Danio rerio: one gene and its partner. The protein of the gene in region 2 binds, or shares a complex with, the protein of the main gene of each other region. Links are inferred from orthologs where the notes say so. Each region holds a gene or a part of one and is shown on either strand. Other genes may lie near its edges. The genes, in order: wtap and mettl14.

What was found.
Region 1: mettl14 (region 2) and wtap share a complex: the UniProt entries of both Homo sapiens proteins name them as parts of the WMM complex. The link is inferred for Danio rerio from reciprocal best matches to the Homo sapiens genes METTL14 and WTAP.

What each region holds. Positions count from the first base shown.
Region 1 is NC_133195.1:33,720,172-33,729,198, reverse strand, and holds the start of wtap (pre-mRNA-splicing regulator WTAP), read left to right. Parts: upstream 1-4,407; 5' UTR 4,408-4,564; exon of another isoform or gene 4,565-4,752; intron 4,753-5,334; 5' UTR 5,335-5,342; coding exon 5,343-5,372; intron 5,373-5,467; coding exon 5,468-5,523; intron 5,524-5,614; coding exon 5,615-5,673; intron 5,674-5,826; coding exon 5,827-5,954; intron 5,955-7,218; coding exon 7,219-7,397; exon of another isoform or gene 7,398-8,122; intron 8,123-9,027. Other genes in the region: sod2 (superoxide dismutase [Mn], mitochondrial), read right to left, coding at 566-682, 1,851-2,053, 3,341-3,369. UniProt on the Homo sapiens protein: Associated component of the WMM complex, a complex that mediates N6-methyladenosine (m6A) methylation of RNAs, a modification that plays a role in the efficiency of mRNA splicing and RNA processing.
Region 2 is NC_133176.1:21,568,079-21,577,140, forward strand, and holds mettl14 (N(6)-adenosine-methyltransferase non-catalytic subunit METTL14), read right to left. Parts: upstream 5,143-9,062; 5' UTR 5,051-5,142; coding exon 4,985-5,050; intron 4,844-4,984; coding exon 4,755-4,843; intron 4,553-4,754; coding exon 4,465-4,552; intron 4,360-4,464; coding exon 4,282-4,359; intron 3,699-4,281; coding exon 3,611-3,698; intron 3,533-3,610; coding exon 3,442-3,532; intron 3,153-3,441; coding exon 3,011-3,152; intron 2,504-3,010; coding exon 2,411-2,503; intron 2,222-2,410; coding exon 2,105-2,221; intron 1,973-2,104; coding exon 1,762-1,972; intron 1,040-1,761; coding exon 735-1,039; 3' UTR 499-734; downstream 1-498. Other genes in the region: prss12 (neurotrypsin), read left to right, coding at 6,528-6,843. UniProt on the Homo sapiens protein: The METTL3-METTL14 heterodimer forms a N6-methyltransferase complex that methylates adenosine residues at the N(6) position of some mRNAs and regulates the circadian clock, differentiation of embryonic stem cells and cortical neurogenesis.

The DNA of each region.
Region 1 (9,027 bases), on a different chromosome or scaffold from region 2:
GATAGAAACCACTGTGGGCCTTTTTTTTCTTATATAATAAATTGTGCCTCAGAAGATGAAACGCAATTAACAAGCTTTGGCTTTTAAAGGTGCAATACCGCTCTTTGGAAGCGCAGACACTTACGAAGTTCTGGAAGGTAATAATACCAAACCACTTTGAATACAGACTTTGGCTAAGGCATTTTGTAATGACCAAAATAACATTTCAGATGTTGTGCAATGTGATTAGTTTGCCAGCTTGTCAAGTAATGGCATCCCATTGCACCCATTTTTGTTATCACATGATCTCTTAAAACAAAATTTGATGTGCATGCTGGAATTTATTCACTAAACATGCTTCCATTGTAGTTTATGCACATTTATCTAATCAGATAAAAAGTTAATCCTACTCACTTGTGTACTTAAATTTTTATGCACATGTTAAAAATGTATGCGCATCTTGGCAGTTACATTAAGCATTTTTTTATGTGATATTCCAAAATGTGCATAAAAATAGGTGAATGGATACATAGCAAATTTTGATGGACTGATGTGGAGTGAAAGAGTAAACTGTCATATGTCTTACCCTGTGGTTCTCCACCGCCATTGGGTGACAGATTTGTCCAGAATATGGTATGATTAATATGACCACCTCCATTAAATTTCAATGCAGGCTGAAGGGAGACTTGGGTTGTCACATCACCTGTAACACAGCAAAAGCAAACCTGAAGACTTTTTATAAGCAATGAAGACCATTTAAGTGATGAATCATAACTTTTGAATGTAGCAAATGTAATTTTAGTTTGGATGTCCAAATCCCATCACATGATCAAAAATCAGGCCTGATCACATGGTTTTAGACTCGATCAGAATCGGATGTTACGTCCCGATCAGAATATGAATATGAAAATATATATATATATATATATATATATATATAGGGTTGGACAAAGTCGACCAATTTGGCATTGAACAATGTCTAATGTGAAACATCGCGATGGACGATGGCATTAGGGAATTCATTATTTATGAATAATTAATTATTCTGTAACAAATTAATTATTTGTAGCCTACCGTTTCAACTGCCAAACCCACATGGTCTTTGTTTTAACCATAAACAAATCATAAATAAATAAAGATAAGTTAAACACAAATTACCACCTGTCAATCACTTTTCAGTGGGACTCTAGGCATGAACAGGCTGAGTGATCTGTGTTGTTATAATGGCGTCGATAAACTTAGTTGGTAAAAAGTTGCACAGCCAACAGGAAGCAGCCAACAGTAGCTGAGGCTTTGGCTAAAATGACTACGTACAAGCGTGAAAGCGAAAGATTGAAGTAGTGTACTGACGCTGTGACACGTTACCTGATAGATTTAAAAGACAGAAGAGTCGTTAGATAGAGATAAAAGTAATTAAATATCATGTTTAACTATAGTGAGACGCGACCCATCGGTACATCCTTAATAAACTGTCTGACGTTCACTGCTCTCTGGGGTTTTATGCTCAAAGCACCCGCTGACTGCTGGAGCTTAGACGCATGCATACGCTGCAGCGTATATGTGTGTGTGTGTGTGTGTGTGTGTGTGTGTGTGTGTGTGTGTGTGTGTGTGTGTGTGTGTGTGTGTGTGTGTGTGTGTGTGTGTATGTGTGTGTGTTCACGTGATGTGGATATCTGTTTGGCACATCGATGAAGTTGCTAGCGTGACACACAATCCAGATGAAATATGAAAGCCCAACATAAGTGTTGATAATATGCAATGTGATTTTTACTAAGAATACCACTGTAGACAACGATAGAAGGGTGTGTATAAAATGAAATAACAATTTGTGTCCACCAAACATAAGGAATAGCAATCTGGTTTGTTCTCACCCTTGGCCAGAGCCTCTTGATATTTCTCCTCTGTGACATTGAGGTTGTTGACATATGTTGCATGGTGCTTGCTGTGATGAAGCTGCATAATCTCAGCACAGATGTGAGGCTCAAGTGCACCATAGTCATATGTGAGGTCAGGGAGAGCGTGCTTCTGTCTGGAGGTCACAGCACCTAAGAGGGGGTTGAAGGTTGCAGCGCACCTATTGTTGACAGCAACAAAGAAATATATTTATGTTTTGAAAACAATATTGCTACAAACAGACAAAAAATTGTCAGGTTATGTTGGATTACTGTGATGAGTACACTGGATCACTGCTGCATGGAAAGTCACATGATCAGAAGTTTCAAACTAGGTTTAAAAAAGGGGGATATCATTTTTGATTAACATTTAGCAAATATTGTAAAAAGTCTTAGTCTTTCCCCTTAGACCAAATAAAGTAGATTTATATATAAATATGAGTGCATTTATATTTTAAAATTAGTAATCTATCAAGATCTAATAAGTGTCCTTGGCATCAAGTTATTTTGAAAACCTCTGGTAAGTAGCCGCTTAGGGCCCAAGGAAATCTGAATAAGAATAAATAATACTCTACATTATATATAATATTGTTTTCTATCATATTTTGTACGGTGAAGGTCTAAAAAGTTTCATTTTAACGTTATTATTACATCTGGGCAAATGTGTACCCTACTTTCAATCATGGACCAGTCCGGCAGTCGAACTAAATTGTTAATTCCGTATGTTTAGATGTGAATTTATCTTAAGAAAACAAATAGTTTCAAAAGTTTTACAAGGTACTTTACATATTATTATTTTGCATTAAGATAAAATGTAGAAAATTAGATTGAATAATATCAAAAAACTGCAAAAAAATAAATAAATAAATAAATAAATAAATAAATAAATAAATAAAGTACAAAAGGTGCATTTTAGATTTTATGAGCCCCCTGGCTGGAATTGTTTAGGGCCCCAAAAATCACTAAATCTGCCCCTGAGTACAGTATACATTAACAAGTGATAAAACTGACTGTTTGTCAAACATAAGTGCTTCAATAGCAACTGTTTGACACAAATTGCAATGATTTCTGATGAAAGTATTTTTTAGGAATGTTGACGAAGATTTGGTCGAAAGGTTTGTATGGTTCGTTTAAAATAAAAGCCAACAGCACACATTTAATTATTAAATATATATTAATTTGAACATTTTAACACGTTAAGCTGTTGTTTGACAGGCTCGACGGAGGCTAATGCAATTACAAGTACACAACTCATATACAACAGCAAATATAGCCTAAGCATCTAAAGTTATTCCTTGTTAAAACTACTCTCGTAATATTACTTACGTAAACTATTGCTGTCCGCTTAAACGCTCAACCAAACAGGTAAATGTGCGCAGGTTATTAATACCGCCATTGATTATATAAACAACATTTGATATTCAGACAGCGGCATATAGTATTAGAACCGATTCAGGCTTTATCATTACCTCCGAACATATCCGACTCTGCACAGCATGCTCTAGTCCGTCACACAGTGATACAAGCGACCAACCAACAGACCTAAATTCGCCACATTACAACCTGCCCTTGAAATTTCAACTTCAACTTGGACTAGACCATACCATTTTGTCAAAATAGGGGTCTGAGAAAATTTTTTTTGTATTTTTATTGATTGCAGACTAAACTATAAAGAATATTTCCGTGTAAAAATAAATTATGAATATTTGAGAGCATAGTATATATTATATATATCTCAAGGGATCGATAGTACTACAATGTAAAGAGGGTGCAAAAACCATGCCCCCTGTCCCAGTTGGTGTAATTCAGTCAGTCATTCTAGGCCTAGGTCCAGAGTGAGACAGTAAATAAATGGTTTCGTTTTAGAACTTTTGTTGCCTGATTTATTAGGATTGTACATTTTGTTTTGCTTCACATTAAAGCAAAATGAATAGCTCAATTTCTTTCCACTTAGTAATTTTGCAAAGAGATTACAAGCAATGGGTTAAGAATTACACAGATCGTAATTCCTATGGCGAATATCTAATGTAATTAACTTGATCATGTATGTATATAGAGAGAGTAAAACGTGTTATCGTTTAGTTAGCATTAAAGCTTACATACCAGGGTTGCCAGATCAATCAAAAGAAACGTGTCAGAAAACAAACCGGATATGAGAAAGGACTTTTGGAAAACACTAAACAGGACACACAAAATATATATTTTAGTCCTTCTTTTCTTGTGCCTTTATTATTGATGTCGTGGTGGTCGGTATGTTTTGTGTGGTAATTTGTCTTTTACAACTAGCTACCTACACCTAACTAACTAACAAAGCAAAAATGAAGTCAATTAATAAATGAATGATTATATACATTAACGTTTGAATGTATGCATGTAAGTTATAAATAAGCTATGTTATCATAATTGTAATAGGTTGTTTGTTGTACTGTAAAAGATGCACTGTTGTTCAATATCAACCTGGCAACACAGTGACAGGAACGTGCTCCTCCTCCTCAGCGCTCGCGCGAACGAACACACTGATGCTGTGCGGCTGAACATCGCGCACACGCTGGTCATGGCGGACGGGCTACCTTTCGTCTAAATAAAAAACGCAACATTTTCCCTATCCCGAGAACTATATTAATAAAAATAACTCTTTCGTATCTCACATTGGAAGACATACGTGTCATTCTGGTCGAGGCGAACCGGCTCTGGTAAGTGGTAGGGATTTAATACGGCTATTTCAGATAAAGTGCTGCTTCTCGGAGAGGGAGAGTCTCTTCCTTCTCCGCCATTTTGTGACAGCGAAAATGCTCCAAGAAGGCGCCGGTACATTTTTATTCCTGTGCGTCTGCAGTCATTTATTGTCTATGTTTTAAGACGAATCTGCATTATCGGCTACGTAAGTTCTTCATGTCTTCCCCGGGAGTAACGAGCACCGTTCCTGAGACTATGAGAATGGCGCGCGGTTGTTTGCGGCGCAGAGCGTTTACCAAGTCAAATCGTTAATTGACGAACTCAATTCGCCTGAATTACGAAACTAACCTTCTTGTTTGGCTATATGAAATAATATTTAAGGGCTACAGTTTGCATTTTTCGATTATAATACGTTAAATGTGCAATTCAAGATGCATATAACGTTTTAGCAGTAAGTTAAGGTTAGGTCAAAATGTTAAGTGATATTTTTTCACATTTTCGCAGTTTAGTTTGTTTCCACATGTTTGCTGCATTTAATTATCAGAAAGTGAATAATTGGCCTTAACTAAGCAAATTCCTCCACAATATCTGTTGTAATTGAGAAACAACAACCTCTCCCTCGCCTGGTGGCCTATATTCGTTATAGCACACGTGTAGGCGTGTGAAATCCATGCAACTGTCTCTAAATCTTTTCTGCATATTGTTGCTTGAAATTGCGTGTGTAGGTTTGATTCATTGATTTATTTGAACTTACTAAGTGTTTGGTTTGTATGCTTCTGTCTTGCAGAGATCAGAATGACCAATGAAGAACCTCTCCCGAAGAAGGTGAGCTCTTTGTCCCAGTCTAATCTGATTATATGATTCTTTCTCCTGAACAAGGTCTCTTTATGAGTCTTTATTTTCTTTTTATGTACTTGCAGGTTCGCCTTAGTGAATCTGACATGAAGACGCTGACTCGAGAGGAGCTCTGTACCAGGTATGTAACCATTCTCTCTCCCGCAAAAACAAAGTATGCAAGTTGAAAGATTCTTGATTGTAATGCTGGTATGTTTTCTTTCCGGGTGTAGGTGGAAACAGCATGAAACTTACGTCCAGATGCTTGAGGCGAAATATGCTGATTTAAACTGTAAGTATGCACATCTTAAATGTTCTGAATAATTCATAGTCTTGAGTGCTTTACTCAAGCACAGAGTGTTCAGTCTTTGTGTTAAAGTAATGTTATTGCATAAAATGAATTGTTGGTAACTAATGCATTTGTTTCATGTTGAAATGTCTGCAGCCAATGACGTGACAGGCCTGAAAGAGTCTGAGGAGAAGTTGAAGCAGCAACAGCAGGAATCTGCACGCAGAGAGAACATTCTGGTGATGAGGCTTGCTACAAAAGAGCAGGAAATGCAAGAGTGTACAGTAAGTTTTTTTTTCTTTTTTTTCTTAATCACTACTACATCTGTTTACTTCTGCTTTATGATCAAGTCTATTCTTGGAAATATGTCAGTTTGTTTGAGTAGTACTGAGTGTCTGAGTTTTGTAGGTGCTGCCTAAGTTGCACACTTCCCTACTATAAGTAGGTGCAAATAGTAAGTTATTCAAAATGAGTATCCACTCAAGAAGAGTGCATGTGATTTGAGATGCTGCTTCTGCTCATGGGTCCCCACCATGATGATTTCTTTTTGTTTACATATAGCAGATGCATTTCTTTTTCTAATGATCTGTGAGACATCAAAAAACATTGCAAATGTAATAGCTGCTATGATCTAGTCAAATGTGTTTTCAAATGTCGGCCATGCAAATTCTAGCTGTAATTTATCATGCTGTACTGAAGCGGATATGAGCATAAATTTTCCAACATTTCAACATGCTGGCATAAAGCAAAACAAATGCAAGTGGTGGCGGATGCAGGCTTGTGCATGTCTACAGTGTTCCACCTTTTACTGCAACTTTCACATTCAGGCACAAACTTTATTTGTAGCAGGTACAAATGACATTACGAATAGGGTTTGGAGTTTCAACTAGACTAGTTTTCATTGCGGTGATTGTTTAATATTGGGACATCAAAGCACTTCAGTTATACAAGCTACTCATTAACTAGACAATGAGCTTGGTATTAAACAGTTGTTTCAAAAATTAAAACTTTAACTGTATACTAGTTTCAAAGCTGAAGTTTTTTATTTATATAAACAGGGTTCATACCATCATAGAAAACCTAGAAAAGTCATGGAATTTTGACATGGTGTTTTCCAGGCCTGCTAAAGTTTTGGAAAAACAAAAGCCACAAAGTTTTGGAAAAGTCATGGAAATTGGATATCTGTATACTTGAATAAAGGTTTTTTACTTTTCTTCCTTGGCCAATCATATACTCTCAAATTATTAGTGCGGTGTAAGCATTATCTAAATCAAATTTACATAGATATAAATTGAAACTAAATGGATTGTTGCGTATTTTATGATATGCTGTAATAAATTTGAACTTGCATTGTTTTTCTTTTACCTCATATATGTAGATAATGCATGAAACATTAGGCCATAAATATTTACTTGTAAGTCTTAGAAAAATCATGGAATTTTATTAGCAAAAATATGTATGAGCCTTTTATATACGTACTTGCATACTCCATTGACTTTTAATTTTTAGTTTGAAATGCTGAGATTCTAATGGTCTCTTACCTTGCAGACCCAAATCCAGTACCTGAAGCAAGTCCAGCAACCGAGTGCAGCTCAGCTGAGATCGTCCATGGTGGACCCAGCCATCAACTTATTTTTCCTCAAAATGAAGGCTGAACTGGAACAGACTAAAGACAAACTGGAGCAAGCCCAAAATGAACTGAGTGCCTGGAAATTTACACCTGATAGGTAAACTAAAATAACTCCCCCCTCCAAACAAAAAGTCAAGACTTTCCTGATTCACCCCCACCTTCTCCTCTGCAGGAGTGCAGATAATGGTGGGGGAAGACTGAAATGTGTTGCTCACAACGAGACTCAGACTTTAAAGCAAAAAAGCTCAGAACAAAAGACATTTTTCTTTTGTATTGCCCTGCTATTACACATACCGTAATGTAAAATCAGAACAGAACACGGCAGTTTGGTCAGGTGACACTTTTGTTTCAGCTCTTTCTCTCCCCCCCACACCCCTCATGGTACAGAAGCCTGAAGGAATCGGGACTGTTCCTGAAGAGGTGGTCACGTCGGAAACTCAGCCCGTGTTAGAAAGCTTCCTGTAACAAATAAGGCGGCCTATGAAAGACTTGAGCAAAGCGTTGGCTCTGGAGCTGGTTGAACTGTAGTTTGCAGGTCACTGATTGAACATTTAAAACATGACATGGCCCAACTAAATGTGTTGCAGAGGAAAATGCCCCCATATAAACTCCATCATAGATGCTTTGAGACTCTGGTTAAGAATCTAGAATGTAAAACAGGGAGGCGGGAATGTAGTGTGATGCAATGAAATGGGGGTGGAGTTAAGCAATCTTAAGACTTTGGGGGAGAAAGCCTTTATGATGTAAGACTTTGGGGGAGGAATCAGACATTCTGATCTGCAAAGACTTTCATATATGTTCATCTCACAGGTGCGACATACGGTACAGTGTCTTAAACCTTTTATCTTTTTTTGTGTTCGTAATATTATACTTTGTTTTTGCTCTGGAAACACTCCTTGCATTCACAGTAGAGTGGTCCAAACGAATTGAATTTATTTAAAATTGGCTGTTGCACTGCTGTGGATGCGAATATAATTGTTCTTTTCGATGTGAATGCAAATGTGCCATGTGTGATAGTAATATGTGTGAATAGTACAGCTATTCAATGTTCAAATGTCTGTGTATGATCATTTGTATTTTAACTTGTGTACCTTTCTAATCCACTTTTTATTTTTCGGTCATCCAGTGAAAGTTTAATTTTCTTTTTTTTTTTCTCTCAGGTCACAAATTTTTTGCAGGTATTTTGCTCATTAGAAATGTTCTAGCAAAATCTTACACTTCAACTTTGTTGGATTTCCTATCTGAGTGAATCAAAAGTAGTTGAAAATATTTAGTCAAAAGTCTTTTGAAATATTGACTGCTCTAAAGTGGCATAAAGAATTAAGCGGTTGTCATTGGAAGTTAGTTGTAGGATTCCCATAAAAGTTGCTGAATTGGTTTAAGGAAATTGTTTGTATTTGATTGTTGTTACATTTGATCTCAAACTGCTCTTAAATGTAAAATGTGAGCATTCGTTCTGAAGAGAGTTTAAGTCTTATTGTTTAAGGACAGTAGTGTTACTGCTGTATCTGGCAGAAAAGCACTCAAGTATATTCTAATACTAAAGAAAACATCAACATATCAGTATAATCTTTGCCAAGTTTTTTACTGGAAATAGGTTAAAGGTGCTGCTAATTTAAATGAAGCGCTCTGGCCATGCAACTTTATTGCATCTTTGTAATATTTTGCAGTGATAAGAAATTGATCTGCCTACTGTCAAGACTCTTTGTCATGTAGTATAGAACCAG
Region 2 (9,062 bases):
CATTGGCAGATTATTTTGTTTTTTTTAAGAAAAAAAAAACTCACTTTATTTCGACTTATTATTTCTGAAAACTGGCAAATGCACCTTGATTTAAAATCTGTAGATATCTGAACTAAACACAAGACAAAAACTCCAAAGTATTTTTTTGCAGTGAATAAAATATCTCCCACACGATTACATAAGAAGCAGATGGATTCATGCTTTCATGGTACTTTATGCCAAATTGTGATCCTATTATCTGTACTTTACATCAAAAACCAAAATAATATATATGTACATACAAAAGATGGTTAAACATTGAAATAATAGCCAACATAATAATCACAACAAGGCGACCCATTTTTTAATCATCTTTTGTCCAGTTTTGGTTAAAATGCATGATGCAATCCCAGCATACTACATGGAAATCCCAGCTGTCTGCTATCAACAACATAAATGAATAAAGTGGTGAGTGAATGGAGGATGAGTTAAGTCATGTGCAAAAGTCAAAAACAAATCTTTGTTTAAAAAACAGGGTTTAATTGAGGCTGAATAAAATCTTTACAAATACTTTTGTAAGTGACTTTACAGAAGTCATTCAGAATTGAGTTGTTAAAATTGAACCCCATCCCTAACCTCTTAATACACTTAACAAAAACAATACAGAGATCAACACCTTTTCAAATTTCAAATACAAAAATATCTCAGAATCCTCACATTTTTTGTTTTCAGTCTGAATGTTGGCACGTTGCAGACTATCGGGGAGGGAATCCACGATGTGGGCCTCCACGGCCTCTGAATCCCCCTCGATCCCCACGGAAGTTTGGCCGATTTCTCTCTCGACCCCGATCACCTCGGCCCGCAGCAGGACCACCCCGTCCTCCTCGCGGTGCACCCCCACCCCTTTCTGCCATAGATTTAGGAGGTGGGGATTTGGGGCGGAGTCTCTCGATTTCTTCAGTACAACCAGACAAGTAAGAGTTGGGCTCGCTGAAGTGGGTGGAGTAAACTTCGATGTTGAAGTTGCTATTGGTCAGAGTGGGACCCACAGTCAGCCATCCTTAAATGAAATAAACCATAACATTTTACATCATATAACATTTACACAAGAACTGAACACATTTGGTGGAAATATTTATATTAATTATTTATTTTTGCATTAATAAAATTTAATGAAATACTTTTTATTGTTGGAACTCTGTTCATCACATACTCGTCACAAAATGAAGCAAATTAGAATTATGAAGGATCATAAAGACTGGAGTAGTGCCTGCTGAAATTTCAACTTTGAATGATAGAAATACAATAAACTGTAAAGCATATCAGTCAATATTTAAAATGGATCAAAACTTTTCAGCAAAAGTGTCCTAAACGCAAAATGTGTACTGAACATTGCCAATATTTTTACAATAATATTAATATTATTTATCATTTTTAAATACATTTAATTATATATTTATTATACAATAACGATCTTTGATCCTCCTTAAATGTTGACTACTGCATATTCACATAGGAAACAGTTATTTTAAATTGTAATATTTCATGTTACCGTTTAATGAATTTTAGTTTAAAAAAAAAACTTCTGGCTCTAATCTATTAACTGTAGTGATTAAAAATATAATTTATAATTTACTAAAATATCATTAAAAGTACTGTCTTTTCAAGCCATATTATGTTGTTACTTTTAAAACAATACACTAATTTCACAACTAACATCGTTGAGGAATGCTATGCACAATTTATAGAAATATACATCTATAATATCTGTAAATATTTAACCTGGCCTGATAGTGCTGTCTCTGCCAAACAGGTGCAGCCGTCGACGACCCAGGCAGAAATGCTCAATGATGTGGAAAATCTCCACTGGCTTCTCAATATTGCCCATCTCTGGCTCCTCTGTAATGATCAGGTCAATATCCACATTAGCGTGAATGAAATCGCCATCTGTGCTGCGTCTAACAGTGCCTTTGATACCCATCAGGCAGTGCTCCTGAGTGTAAACACACAAAAAAGAGATGTCAAAAAAAAAGTGTTTACTACAGGAAAGCATCATTATGAATAAGTGAGATTACAATGTTGTGCTTTGCCTATGACTCTATATATTATAGACAATAACTTTTACCTTAGTTCTCTGGAACACTGCTTTAGGGTCCAGTGTTTTGGTTTTGCCAGGGTTGTTTTTGTTGGTCTTGATCCAACATATGTCCTCACATCGCCTGAAGCCCCATTTTCTCAGACACTGAGAGAGAAAGAAGAATGAAAGATGTTTAAATATGTTTGAATAAAGAATATTTGGCAATGATGTAAAAGCAGCATATTTGTATGTGGGCAGGTTATTATGTGTACATCATATTTGAGATAAGTTTAGGTTTATGCACATGGAACAGAAATCTGCCATGTCAAGTTTGTATATTTGTGAGATTTGTACCATTCGGCCAAGATCAAGGCCTTCTCCTGAGCCACACCACAAGAATACAAAAGAGCGAATGGATGAGATTTCCTCTATGTTCAGCTTCATGATCTAAAGCACACATGAATACAAAAATAAGTTATTATATATGTTAGGACATCTTACATTATTATATTATATGAGCATAAAATATATAATAACTGTTATCTAAATGGATAGTTCATCTAAAAATGAAAATTCTCACCATTTAGTCAGACTCAAATGGTTGTAAATTGTTATCAATGTCTTTCTTCTGTTGAACATAAAACTAGATAATCTGAAGAATGTTGGAAAATGCAGCCACTTACATCCATATTAGGAACAACAAAAACAACTAAAACAAACAAACAAAAAAACTATGAAAGTCAACGGCTGTTTTCCCCCAGCATTCCTCACTATATCTGCTTTTGTGTTTAACAGAAGAAATGAACTCAAACAGCTTTGGGACAAGTGGGGATGATAGAATTTTCATTTTTGAGTGTAGTCAAGTATATCTCTAATGTGTATTATAATACATAATTGAAATCAATTTTAAAAACATTCTCATGAGGTTGATTTTGAGAATTTGCAGTAACTCACATCGTCCCAGTTCCAAAAGCGCTCATTGGCAATGATGCCTGACTCTCTGTAATATTCCTCTAATGGAGGCTCTATCAGAATCACATCAAACTTGCACTTCAACTCTCTCAGATCAAACGTGTCTGGATCTGCCTGGAGATACCTGAAACGCACACAAACGCAAGAGTTATTACATTCATAAAAGCATTGAAAAAGACCCAATTGTCCCATAGTTAAATGCTTCTAATTATTATAAAAAATAACTGATTTTATTTGCTTAGCAACCTCAAAATCACTTTTGTTTTTAGTACGTTCAAATAAAATTCTAGAATCTAAATAAAACCCAGTGTTTTATACACAAATGTGAATAATTTTCAGGTTTCAAAAACTGCAAATGGGCACCACTGGCCGGTATGGGCCCTATGACATAGACTGAGACCAAGTTTTCTTACATGGGGGGAGTGTTGGTGGCAGAGATGAGTTCATCTTTCAGTCGAATGAGCTCTCTTTGTTTGGGGTATTCCTCAAACCTGTCAGCCAAACCTACAGCACATGAGAACACACAGGTTAACACACTCTCAAAGTGGAAAACTAAAAAGAAAAAGTAGAAAAACACTTTACCTCCATCTCGGATAAAGTTCTGAGGTCTATGACCTGTGTCCACAAAGTGCTGGCAATAATCATTGTGAGGATTTAAACTCTGAGTGCCCTGTGAAACAAGTAATGATATAATAAAAACATTACTTATGTTATTTTAGTAATATTTAGAGTGACTTTGCATAGACATAAACTATGCAACTGAAAAAGGAACCAGAAGAAATAAATCCCCTATGACATCTTATACTGATACATAATACAAAGGAATACAAAGGAAAGAATGCAGAAAGCAGAAAAAGCCAACAGGTAAATGAGACTATCTCTAGCTTTCTGTATGTATATACTGTATGTAACACTTGTTTCCCAAAAAAGCTCCAATAACTAAAACTGTTCCTAGTCCTTGCATTACAAACATGTCAAAAGCGAGAATTTCCTACATTAGTTCTAAGAACTATGAAACATACCTTAATTGCAAAACCCAATGCAGTTTACGTTTACTGTAAGGGACAGTTTTTCTGATGGAATGAAAGAATTTAAAGATCGTACTTTTCAAAAATTACCATGTTTTTGCCTTTAATGACAGTATATAGTGGTAACCGTTTTGTGAATATATGTCTGAGTATCCTCACAAAAATATCATAGCTTCTCATACCCGATTGCTCAATTAAATCATATACAATTGTGTTTAAAGATACCTTTAGAAATGTGCTGGAGTCCTTGTACACCTCTTCATATGGTCCACTCTCTTCCTGATGTTGAGGCTCAACATCTTCCTACACCATACAGCAGATTCAAAATCAGTTACACATAGCTCTGACCTGATCAAATGTAAGGGCTTTTCTGAATTAACAGCCGATTCCTGATCAGCGCTCTCTCACCTTTTGCTCTTCCACATCTTCCTCTGGATCTTCACCCTCATTCAGACACTTCCTTTTAGCACCAGGAACTGATATGTCAAATGATGCCCTACAGTAAACAAACCAAATGGTAACTGACCTCAGCATCGTTCTGATTAATACTAACTTACAAGTAGCAGCATCACATACCCGTGCTGAATGTAAAGGTTGTCCTATCAGTACAGTTTTAGCTCTTTTGGGGTATATAGGTCTTAGTGTTCTTTATTTTTTAGTGCTGCACATAGTCCTTGAATTTAACAAATGGTTTATACCTGCAGGTCTCTCTAGTCTCTTCAATCTCTTTTTGTTCATCTTTACTGTTGAGAACTGCGCCGATGCTGTCGGGACTCTCTGCTCCGAGCTGTAAAACAAATCATTAATGTCATAAAACATTCGCAATGCTTCTACGTTCATTGGCGTTAGTAATATAACACCGCGTTAATATGGCAGTGTTTGCTAAAACTGGCTTTCTGCAGGAAGAAATAAAGTTGTGTATTCGTACCTGTTGTGCGAGAAGCTGACGTCTGAGCTTCTGCCTTTCCCGTATTTCTTGCAAGCGGCTGTTCATGTCGAAAATGTTTTGCAGGAAAATAGCTAATCGTGAAATGATCAGATGACAACAATAGTGCGGCAAAAATCCATTGAAACCCTCAACGTGAGAAACCGTCGCATGTATTTTACATCATCACAATGCTTGACGCATACGGTGACGTCAGTAGACGGCCTCTTACTTTTATTTGGAGTAAAAACAACTAGCGTAAACAAAATGTAATAATGATTATCTTTGAATGATTTGACTGTCAGTGTTCCTTCAGCCATTAGTTTTTGGAGATCACAATTTCAAGACGTAAACTCGAACCAGACTTTTAAGATCTCCAGACGTTTTTGTATAACTGAAAAATTAGAGAGGTAACTTAATATTTAAAATTGTTAATCGTTTTTATCATGTAAAACAGGTAATTGCACAATTTTGTAAAGGTGTTGACTTAAAATGTGTTTTCTGTAACGATTAAGAAGAGAGTATTGTTCATTTATTTTGATTGTATTTATACACTATTGTTTTGGTGTGATCTTTTTTTTTTTTGCGGAGTACGAGTATTGCATTGGAATTAAAAGAAATGATGTTTATTATGAGAATACAGCCGGCTTCAAAATTTGGTATAGTGTTTGCTCATTATATGTGGAATTTGTTTTATTCGTAAATGTAAATGGGCTGTGAAAAAAACCTAATTTTACTCATTTTAAAATAGAAATAGATCATGTACGATATAAAAACAAAAAATACTAAAACAAAAAGCAATGTTAATTATTTTAAAGCCTTAAATTTAGACTTTGAATAATTGTATTTTTTCTTTTCTTTTAATATTGTATTTGTTTTGATCTATCCTTGCTGACTGAAAGTAACTGAAACCGATTTTAAAAATATATTTTTAAATTAGCTATTATTCTATAATTAATAATGTTTATAATTTCATAAATGAAAAGCATTGATTCTGGTTGCATTTTACTGACACAAGAGGGCAGAAGTGAACTTTTGGCTGTTTGTCATTGTGATTAGTTCTGAAAGCTTGAGCCGAAATTTGTACACCGTGTTGTCTCGGAGAGACCAACAGTGATGACCAGACCAGACTAGACGCCAAATTACTGATATAACGTGGCAGACTCTCGTTTAAGTTCACTCTGTGGGAAGATCGGCGCGCGCAGCTCGGGCGCTATCGTGGAATGATTTATTTAGCAATTACTATTTGCCTCGTAGATTCTTTTTCTATTGTTCTGCAACTTGTCACTATTAAATGAAGGACACTATTGATTTTTACCATCAACTGTTCTCTTTTTAAACTTGAAATCCAGACTGGGCGACGATCATCAATATGCATGAGTCATAAGCTCCGGGCTTCCCCGGTTTCTCTTTTATTGATCCGCGTCTGCTGCTCTGATAACAGCCAAACGACAAGATGAGAAAACTCGGGTACCATGTCTTATCCACGCAGACTGGAGAGTAATTGTCGGGTGTTAGGGTGACAGTCACGGACAGGTTGATCGTGATGGATGTGAGGTGTCGGTTCGTCTTTACGGTCTGCGCGCTTCTGCTTATGATCGCGCGCACTGGCGGCTCTCCGTTCACTGACTGTGTTCAGAGCAAAGGGAAAGCGGGCTTTTACGAGGGGTCCATTGACGCAACCGAATCAGGCGTGAAGTGCATGAACTGGAGCGATGTGCCCGGTGTTAGAGAGCGGTATCAAGGTAAAGGGCTCGGAGATCACACTTTCTGCCGAAATCCGGACGGGAGAATTCGGCCCTGGTGCTTCTTCACGAACAACAGAGGACGCATTGACTGGGGATACTGCGACTGCAAGCAGGGTATGTATGTATACAAAGAAAGTATCTAATTTTCAACAGTATTAGTTTATGCGAAAGAAATTTACCGCACTTCAAGTGTGTTTAATTGTTTTTACAAGACCTTCTCGCGCATTACCTATTTCCATAGATTACTTTAATGCTTACTATTACTTGAGACTTTAAAAATTGTCATGTCAAAAAAGAAAAAAATACTGCAGTGCACACAACACATGCAAGCTAAGACATGTCCAAACTTCAATGCATCCACGCGTGGGAAAGGTATGCGCCTCAGGTAGCACTAAACGGAGAACAAAGCAGCCACTCTCATCCAGCGCAAGACGTCTTGTTGTCATTTGGGTTTTTACTGTGAAACAGTAGTCTCCCACAGAATGTTGGTAATTTCATATATTTGTTGCAGTCATCGTAGCTCTTTTAGGAGTGTACGAGCGCGTTTTGAGCAGTGAACTCTCTCTGACAGATGCGCACGTGCTTATTTATTTCCGCCGGGCTTAGAAAGTGAGGAATCTAGTACCGTTTAATTTGACAGTGACTATTTTACAGCATGACTTGTGAGAGAAGAAAAAGTTTTGAGACCTGTGTAATGTACTGCACGACAGGCAATATCATCATTTTAATCCAGTGAATAAGGTAAGTTTATTTGTGGGCTAGTTTTAGCTGCATAAAAGCTAAATATTTCCACTTTTTGCTCTTGGAAAAAGATAATGGAACTCACTTTGACCCTTTTTGAAACCATTAACCTTAGTAGAGGCTGTGAGTGGGATAAGCAACTTCACATGTGAAAACTAGCCCATTTAAACTAGCGTTTACCATGGCAAAATTTAGGAATGTGCATCTTCAAAGACAGAACTGTTAAACATGGTTTACTACTACTACTACACAAACACACACATGCACAAGTACAAGCACACCATTATTATATTCAAACCGGTAACCATAAAATTAACCACTACCCTAACCATAGTATTAGTAAAACTGTGGCAATACAACTGCTAATAATCTACAAAGCTACACAACCATTTTTTCTAAAGGAGATTTGTCATTTTTTATCAGATAATTTCATAAGAATAATCACATGCAAACGATCATAAATAGTTTAATGATGTAATCCTGTCTTATAATAGCGCTGGAAAGAGTACTTGGAGTAGAGGTATAAAAATATAAGGTTGTGTAATAATATTGCCATATTTATTATTTGTGACATTTGTCTACAGTTCTTTCAGTATTATTGCACGTGAACATCTTATCAGTCTTAAATGACCGGATGAGCTTATTTAAATATTTTGGTATTCAATCAGTTTATATTTCCAGCACATCTGCCGCTTCACATTTTCCAAACATTCTGTGAATGTTTTGAAGCGCTGAAATGTTTGAAGAACATGTGCTGCCATCATGTGTGCTTGTGTGCTGTGTGTGATTTATAACTGCTCTGAATGCAGCAGCTGGCCTGCACATATACTGGATGCAAACACTGGACACATGAAATACTGTCACACACACACTGGATGTATTTCAATACTAGTGTTGCTAATTAAAAAAATATATTAATAAATAAATAAAATTATTTATTCATTAATTTTTTTAAAGGGTTGCCACTGAGGAATGAACCACCAACTTATCGACCAAATGTTTTATGCAGCAGATGCCCTTTCAGCTGCATTACTGGGGAACACTAATACACTCTCATTCACACACATATTGAAGTCACTACGGACAATTTAGCTTACCCAATTCACCTGTACCACATGTCTTTGGTTCATGGAGGAAACTGGAGCACCCGGAGGAAACCCAGGCAAACACAGATAGAACATGCAAACTCCACACAGAAACGCCAAGTGACCCAGCCGGGGCTCAAACCAGCAACTTTCTTGCTGTAAGGCAACAGTTCTATGTTGTTACCATGTTGCCTAAAATTTTCATTATGATGTATTTTAAAAAAAATGAATTTTAAGGGTTTATATTATATTATGATATAGATTATACCTATACACATAAAAAATGACTTGCTGCTTGTTCAAACTACTTATTTAAAATGAGTTGAAACAACATTTGTTTTGGGACAGCTTGTTTAATATTCATTACACTTAAGCTTGTAAAAATAATGAAGTTAACATAATCGAAGAAATTGTGTTGAACTCAATATTTTTACAGTGTATTATTGCACTGATTGCACTTATTTACTCTAACTCCGTAACTGATGTCTGTGCAAGATTATTCACCAT